Ovis aries: one gene and its partner. The protein of the gene in region 1 purifies or fractionates together with the protein of each later gene. This does not show direct contact. Links are inferred from orthologs where the notes say so. Each region holds a gene or a part of one and is shown in the gene's direction. Other genes may lie near its edges.

Region 1 (4,208 bases):
GCTAAGGGTCTAGATTCAATCCCTGGTCAGGGAACTAAAATCCCCACAAGCTGCTGTGATGTGGCCAAAAACAAATAAAAGCTCCTCTGAAGATCCTTAGGTGCAGCCAGAGTTCAGAAATACTGGTGTAAGGTTGATTTAATGCTTTTTTTAAAATGAGGATTTTGAATATGTTTTGCTTTTGTGATGTCACTGACAAATATTTTAATGTATTCAAACTCTCTTTGCTCTATTTAGAGAAGTTTCAATTCGCTTTCTACAATTAATCCAAGTAAGCCTTAAAACTGAGCTATATAATAGGCGATGGGGCGTCTTATCTCCAGACCATGTCTCCTAGGGTCAAGCGTGGGATAAAAAATGGAGTAAACCCGGACATACTCCTTTCCCTCCAGCTCTAGCTTCTAGTAGTTTGGATCAGCATCCCTGTTTTTACTTCAAACTTCAGGAAATTTGGAGAACTACTAATATCACAGAGAGAATACATATATAAAGGGGACAGATTTCTCCCATATTACTAATTGCAATAACCAGGCAGGAATACATAGACTCCCTTCTGGGCATAATCATATTACCTCTGTGAGGGCTCGCCCTAAAACTATTTTTGGAAACTAGGGATTTTCCAGATTAGCGAAAGCTGTGGCGCTGTCAACTGGCTCAGGCCTATGTTTCATAATCTAAGCCGCTAAAGCAGTCGCCCTCGCAGTCAATACGAAGCCTTCGCCCTACTTCCGTACCTCTGGGAATCACAGGCTCTCGGGGAACTTTCTTTTCTCCCTTGGAACTGAAGTAGTTCACATTCCTGTTTTCTAAAAATACTGTAAAGCAACCGTCTCCAGATTCCTTGCGGGTCACTTTAAATTACAAGTTCGTCCGTACACGACACTGGAGTAACCACTTACACCCGCCAATGCGGGCGAAGGTCGATCCGACGCCTCCCTTTGTACTCGCTGAACCTGCGCCACCCAAATGCGGAAAGTTAGGAGAGGAAGAGAGACGGGAGCACACAGACGCACGTTCTAGAGAAATTATCAAAACTGTGCAGGGGTTACAGTAAATTTGCGGACTCGAAGTTGGCGATACGGTATCTCGTAAAGCTCCCTTATTACTCTTTTGATTAAAAATATTACATACGAGGCGAGGCGGTTTGAGGTTGTTTTAGTAAGTAGACCACGTCCCCAGCCACTCTGGGGAACCAACAGGGAGGTCACCCAGGTCACCCGACGGTCCCACCCAGGGGCCTCTGCTCCGCGGCCGGCGAGGGCGTAGGCTCAGCGGGCGGAGACAACGCCTAAAGGGACTAGTTGGCACGCCGACCGGGCGTGGTGACGTCAGGGCGGAAGCGCACGCTGCGTGAAGCGGCCAGAACCCGGCGGTCACGGGAATATCCGTCGCGCCGAGAACGCTGGTTAGTCTCACTTCGGGTTCCGGCTGCGTTGGGCGTGCGTGCAGCTCGCTGAGACTATGGCGTCCGGGCCTCACCCGACCGCTACCACTGCCACCGCCGTCTCGTCTGCTGCCCCTAGCGCGGGCGGCTCAAGCTCCGGCACGACGACCACGACGACGACCACGACGGGAGGGATCCTGATCGGCGACCGTCTCTACTCGGAAGTTTCGCTCACCATCGATCACTCGCTGATTCCGGAGGAGCGGCTCTCGCCCACCCCTTCCATGCAGGACGGGCTCGACCTGCCCAGCGAGACAGACTTGCGCATCCTGGGCTGCGAGCTCATCCAGGCCGCCGGCATTCTCCTCCGGCTTCCGCAGGTCAGTGATCCGGCCCCGGGCCGACAGGCGCGCCTCCCCTCCCCGCCTTCCCCTCCGATGCCTTCCGGTACTACCAGGACCCGGCCGCGTGGGAGGTCACCCCCTGGGGTTCTCCAGCCGCGGGTCGCAGCCAGAGCGCGGGAGGGCGCTTGCGATGGGAGGACGGCCCAGGAGCTGTTCGCGGTGGGGAGGGGGAGGGGAGTGAGCGGAGGCACAAAATGGCGGCGGCGCCTGGTGCGGGCCCGCCTGACCCCTGCGCTTCCGTTCTCTTCTCTTGTCTGCAGGTGGCGATGGCAACGGGTCAGGTGTTGTTTCATCGTTTTTTCTACTCCAAGTCTTTCGTCAAACACAGTTTCGAGGTAAGCAGGGCGGGGGCGGGTGACGGGGGATTTCTCCATCCGGAAATGGGAAGGAAGGAGGGGGTAGTGTCAGTGGCCAGCCTTTGCAGAAAGGGAGTGGTTAGTTTTAGGCCTTTGTACCTAGCTCTCACCCATAGGGGAGTAGGGACTCTTGGAGAGAGTTTGAGAATCAGAAGATGGAGCCTGAGTCCAGGTGCCTTATTATCAAGAATTTGCATTTTCAATCAAATGGAGAGCACCTATGAGTTTGAGTTTGGCTCCGGATTGAAAATTAAGGGGAATAAGGACTTCCCTGGTGGCTCAGACCGTAAAGCCTACAATGTCGTAGGCCCGGGTTCCATCCCTGGGTCGGGAAGATCCTCTGGAGAAGGAAATGGCAGCCCCTACGCCCGTACTCTTGCCTGGAAAATCCCGTGGACAGAGGTGCCTGGTAGGCTACAGTCCATGGGGTCGCAAAGAGTCAACAGGACTGAGCGACTAAACTTTGTTTTAGGCAATAAAAGAAACGTCACACTAGCATAAATTTATGTCCTAGAAATGTCAACTGTATTTTTATTTCACCAAATGTCCCAGTTGTGTCTGAAAGTTTTTTCATTAGAATAAGTTCTGTAGACTTTGAGAGGGGCACTTCTTTCTAACTTTACTCCTGCAGTGCCATAATCTAACAGCTCTTATTGGCTCTTTTTTTTTTCCAGATTGTTGCCATGGCATGTATTAATCTTGCATCAAAAATTGAAGAAGCACCTAGAAGAATAAGAGATGTGATTAATGTATTTCACCACCTCCGCCAGTTAAGAGGAAAAAGGTAAGATTGGCATTATTGAATGCAGCATCTCTTGCTACTACTGAACTGTGCACCAATCATGTCAAAACATTCTTTCCTCTCAAAACTGATGCAAGGGAAAACTGACTTTAATTTAGGTGTTAAAATTCACATAGGAACACACTGATAATTTGAAAAACCACAGTTAACCAGTTATTTGAAGTTTGTAGAGGCAGTTGTGTTTATGGACAATCCTAACAGTGCTGTGAAGCCAGTCCTGTGGTTTTAAGATTAAACAAGAAAGGGAGTATGTTTGTCTCAAGTGTGAGTGTGTTCTGTAAGTTATTTTTCCCCTCCCTTCTCTGTAAGACTGAAGGCTGGAAGTTTAAACGCTGCAGTTCAAGTTAATATTGTGGTGAAGTTTTGTGTAGACTGTCTTACCACTGGAAGTTCCAGTTAATTCTTGACCAATTGAGGTTGGCTTTTGTTAGAATACTTCTCAACATTGAACTACGATATCCCCCATAATACCGGATCTGAAAGGACTGCAGGATGATAAAGTTTGGAGTCAAAGGGATTAAACAGGTATTTTGTTTTGGTCAGATAACAGTCTCAGTGAGTGGGCTGCATTTAGATAGGGGCTATTTATCTGATCTAGTAAGAAAATAGAAACCAAAATAGTGTTGTTTTATAGGTGGAAGCCTGCTAACATTTTATGTGTTCTAGTGAGGCAGTACCAAAAAGTTTTAGTTACAGTGCGGCTTGTGCCTACAGATGACTTCTTGTGTCTACAGATGACTTATAATAATAGATGCTTCTAGTACATAGTGTAGATTAGTTCTTCTGTTCACTTTTTGAGGAAGTTGTTGTGATATTAGATAAACTTGTACTGAGTTTGAAAGGAAGTCAGTTATAAAAAGATTTTAGTCATTTTGGGGTTGGGCATTGGTTAGTACAAAATTAAAAGCTTCCTTGAGTGGTCCTTGTTAGTTGAATCTGTAAATTGTTGGTAATGAAACTATTTAGAGACAAGCGAATAGTAAGTAAGTAGCCTTGGAATGATCAGTCTACTTAGATTGAAATATTGTTACCCAGATAGTTTTCACAGTGGTTTTCGGTTTTCTTATATTCTTTATTCTGTTCTTTTTTCATTCACCTTATTCAGGGATAGACTAACTTTGTAATTGTATTTAAAAATGTCTTTTAGCTTCTTAGTGAGGAATCCCTGAAACTTGGGAAGTTTTCAAATTGATAATTTAGTATGGTCTGAGCTAAAATTTATATTTAGATCTAGTAGACTGTTAAGGGTGTTTAAACAGTGA
Region 2 (4,158 bases), on another chromosome or scaffold:
CAGGAAGTTCACAGTTCATGTATTGCTGAAGCCTGGCTTGGAGAATTTTGAGCATTACTTTGCTAACATGTGAGATGAGTGCAATTGTGCGGTAGTTTGAGCGTTCTGTGACATTGCCTTACACGGTTTAACTTGTCTAATTTTCCCCATAGCCCTATGAAGTAGATGCCATTACAGTTTTTATGCTGTAAAATCTACAGCACAGAGAGGTTAAGTTGTTGGCCCAAGGTCACAGAGCTTGTAAGTAGCAGGGCTGGGATTCAAACCTGGGATGAATCTGACTCCACTGTCTGTGCTCTTAACCATATCAAAAAAAGAGGAAACAGTCTCATCTAGAGAATAGAATATGAAAAAAAGATTAGAACAAACTGGGCTGTGCGAGGAAGTTGTGTTGATTAAAAAAAAAAAAAAAAAGTGGGATGGGAAAGCAAGACAAAAGGCCCAGAAGATCATAGAGAGAAGAATGTTCAGGGCTAGAAAGCAAGATAATAAAATAGGCCAAGGTTTGGTTGGCCACCCCACCCTCAGTCCATGCCCAACCCCCAGCCCAACCCTACAGGCAGAACTCTCACAATTCGTCTCCTGGTGTGGTCCCAAACAAAACCAGAGTATTTACATGATCTCAAAGTATCGCTTATTAATTATGGAGGGAAAAATAGGAGCTTTACAGCCAGCAACCTGGCTGACTCCAGCTAAACCAAGTGTCCGATGTGAACATACAGAGGGGTCTTAGGGAAGGTTCTGGAAGGGAATTTTGGGGATAGTGTATGAGAAGGGTTTTATGAGGAAGGTGATACATGAGAGAGACGGGCAAGTCTTGAAGTTCAAGGGTCTATGGGTGACCGGTCACGGTCCATTGAGGGGAAGACGGCGTGTCTCTGGGAAGGAAGGGGAAATCTTATGACGGAGCGGTTCTGAGAGCTAAGAGCAAGTCATTAGGAAGGGACTTGTTGGGAACAGTTTGGGTGACAAAAAGATCACAACAGGGTCCATCCGGGAGGTTGGGGTGGGTAAACTCTGGATGACTAGAGGGCAGAGCGTTTGGGGCAGGGGTCTCTAGGGGAGTCCTAAAACGGTATACGAGGCACAAGGCTCCAGGGCCACAGCCTGCAGCTGGGGACGACCCTGTGGTGAGCGCGGCGGGCCAGACCCAGGAGAGAGAGATTGGAAGTCGGCCTTGAGGGGCGGGGCCGGGGCGGGGCGGGGCCGCCGGGAGGGTCCCCCCGCGCTGCAGGGGGCGCTGTGAGCCTGGGCGGACCCGGGCCGGGCGGCGGCCGCTCCTAGTGAGTGCGGCCCCTTTTCCGGGTTTCCTCCTCCTCCTCCTCCTCCTTCTTCGCCGCCGCCGCCGCCGTCGCTGACCCTTTCCCGGCCGGCGGCTGCCGCTGCTGGTGCCGCCGACAGCGCCGCCGCCTCGGAGCCGCGAGCCGAGCGGAGGCCGCCGCGGAGCGCGAGCGCTGCCCGCCCCGCCGCCCCGCCGGCCGCTCCAGGGCCGGGCCGGCTCGGCCGGCGCCCCCCGCGCCCCCCAGCCCGCCCGCCCCCGCGGGCCCGGCCTGGCGCGGCCGCCCGCCGCCGCGCTCCTCCTCCTCCTCCTCCGGCGGCCCGCTGCCCGCCGCCTCCTTTGCCCGTCGCCCCGCGCCCCTCGCCGCGCCGCCACCCTCGGCGCCCCGCGGCGCCCCCCGGTCCCGCCCGCCATGCCCGGCCCGGCCGCGGGCAGCAGGGCCCGGGTCTACGCGGAGGTGAACAGCCTGAGGAGCCGCGAATACTGGGACTATGAAGCTCACGTCCCGAGCTGGGGGTAAAGCCGCCGCAGCCCCCCTCCGGGCCCTCGCACCCCCACCCCCGCCGCAAACCGCACTCGCCCCCCGTGGTCTGTCTCCCCGCTGGGCCCGCGCCTCTTCGGCTCTGGGGTGGGAAGCAGACCCTCCCCACCATATTCTCGTCTCCCTCTCCCCGCTTCTCGTTCCTTCCTCTCAGCGGTGCGCACCCCTCTCACCTCGGGGAATGCTCTCTTACTGACAAGTGTAGGGATCCAGGGACCAGAGCCTGGTGGAAGTGAAGGAGCAGCCCTTCCTTCTCACGCGTTGGGGTTTCTGTTGGGGTGGGAAGTCAGCAGCTGTCCTCTTGAGCTATTAAAATTCTCTGCCTTTTTGAGGTTTTTGAAATGAGGCTGGGTGGGAGGAAATTTTTTAAAGACGTCCAGATTCTCAAATCGAGCGCTGTCTACCTTGCGGGAGTGAAGTAATAAGGCAGGTGCTGTGGGCAGAGGGGCACCTGTGAGCCTCCAGGATGGATGCTCAGCTCATCTCGCTAGATTGGCTCAGACGCCTGCCTTCCCACCTTGTCTCCCCCTAGTTATGAGGGACCAGTTAGGTTAGGAGCTACGTCCAGTGAAAAGAGCCAAGTTTATGTTGTGGCTTTCGTGTAGGGAATAAGTTATGGCATGAGGTATATAGACACTTCCAAGTGCTTGATCAGTGGAAGCGCCTGGATGAGGATGTGTAGTGGGCATAGCCTTGGTTAACCCCAAGTCCTGGCATTTATGTGTCCTCCTTGTCTTTCCCAGTAATCAAGATGATTACCAGCTGGTTCGGAAACTTGGTCGAGGAAAGTATAGTGAAGTATTTGAGGCTATTAACATCACCAACAACGAGAGAGTGGTGGTAAAAATTCTCAAGGTGAGTGTCTTATGAGTGGCATTAAAATTTCTTTTTCACAGGTCAGAAGGATACAAACTACTCCAACCACATTCTAGAATGAGCAGGACAAACTCATTTTAAAAACCTTCTGCCCCATGTCCCTCTGCTACTCTTCCCACAGCTGTTTTTGTTTGAACTTTTTTTTCACACAGACCTTTTTCAAATCTAAGCATGGTAGTTCAGGAACATCCTTGTTCTAAAATGTAATTATGGGCTCCCAAAGTGAATATTCCAAAGAGCCTCCATTTGTTACAAACTAAATAGGTATTCACATGCAAGAAGAGCCTCTTCATGAAGAGCCCAGTTGATACAAAGGCTCCTTGAGCACTGAATTTGTTATTCCAGAAAGAAAGATGGAAACAGAGTAGCTTCAAAGAGGAGTTTGAAGACTGAGTGGAAGGAAACACCCCAGTGAATAATTGCTTGTTTTTTCTCCTTTGGTGCTAAATGGTTCAGATGGGGTACATACAGTGAGCTAACAGGGCCAGGGAGGTTCATAGTTGCTTATCAGCCAGTAAAAGTGAAGTTGGGAGCAGTAGAGAGTACGCTTAGAATCACTAAAATAATGATTAGAACAAACCAGCCTGAATCTGGTTTAGCAGCCTAAGTTTGTAGCAGATACACACTTTGTCATCTCTTGGATGGAGACATGATCTTACTAAGTATGAAGAGTTGGCTAAATTCTCTTCCAGGTAACTGGTTATATAGCTTTGATAATGTTTTACAGGGTGGACTAAAAAACAGTTCTTAGAATCTGTGAAGGGTATTCATCATTGCCAGATTATTTCATTTGTGTGCATGTCATTTAGTGAAATCTTGAGGTGACCAAAGAGTTAATTAATATAAGCACTTTTACACAAACAGGAGTTCCAGTATAGCCGTTTTGGAGAGGTTCTGTGGATAAGAATATAGGATTGAAAGGCTGTTTTTGTCATCTTAAGTAGAGTTAGGGCAGCTGTGTTCCTGTTTAAAAAGAGGGGTCAGGCTTGGACTGTCTGAAAATCGCTTTTCAGAAAAATGAGTGACTCTACTGATACTCCGTACCAGTCTAGCCTAGTGATGAAGAGACAGGATTATGATTGAGAGAAATAGCCAAGTTACTAATTTATGCTGTCAGAAACGCTGGGGGTAAGAAGTAAGGAACTGATATTGAAAATGTGGAGTTTTTGACTCTCCTCTTCCCTGAATATGAGTTGCACCCACAGAATCATGTCATCTTTTTTGTTATTGTATTTCTTCACAAGCATAAATATTTAAAAAGATGCTTTCTTCAGAGAAGTCACCTGGGAAAGCCATACAGCTTTTTTCTTAGTATATTAGCATAAATGTTTTTACTATAAGCTGGTTAAAATCTCTCTAGGAAGTAAGCAAGACATAAATTGAAATTAAGAATATCTACATTCCATTGCTGTGCATTTGGAAGGACGAACTGCTGACACTAAAGCAATTTCAGAAAAATGTC

What was found.
Region 2: the proteins of CCNL1 (region 1) and CSNK2A2 purify together in Homo sapiens (affinity purification with mass spectrometry; 4 studies listed by BioGRID and IntAct, with this or other methods). This does not show direct contact. The link is inferred for Ovis aries from reciprocal best matches to the Homo sapiens genes CCNL1 and CSNK2A2.

The regions. Positions count from the first base shown.
Region 1 is NC_056054.1:231,166,467-231,170,674, forward strand, and holds the start of CCNL1 (cyclin-L1), read left to right. Parts: upstream 1-1,408; 5' UTR 1,409-1,461; coding exon 1,462-1,764; intron 1,765-2,048; coding exon 2,049-2,123; intron 2,124-2,818; coding exon 2,819-2,928; intron 2,929-4,208. UniProt on the Homo sapiens protein: Involved in pre-mRNA splicing. Functions in association with cyclin-dependent kinases (CDKs). Inhibited by the CDK-specific inhibitor CDKN1A/p21. May play a role in the regulation of RNA polymerase II (pol II).
Region 2 is NC_056067.1:25,635,747-25,639,904, reverse strand, and holds the start of CSNK2A2 (casein kinase II subunit alpha'), read left to right. Parts: upstream 1-1,358; 5' UTR 1,359-1,691; coding exon 1,692-1,795; intron 1,796-2,563; coding exon 2,564-2,675; intron 2,676-4,158.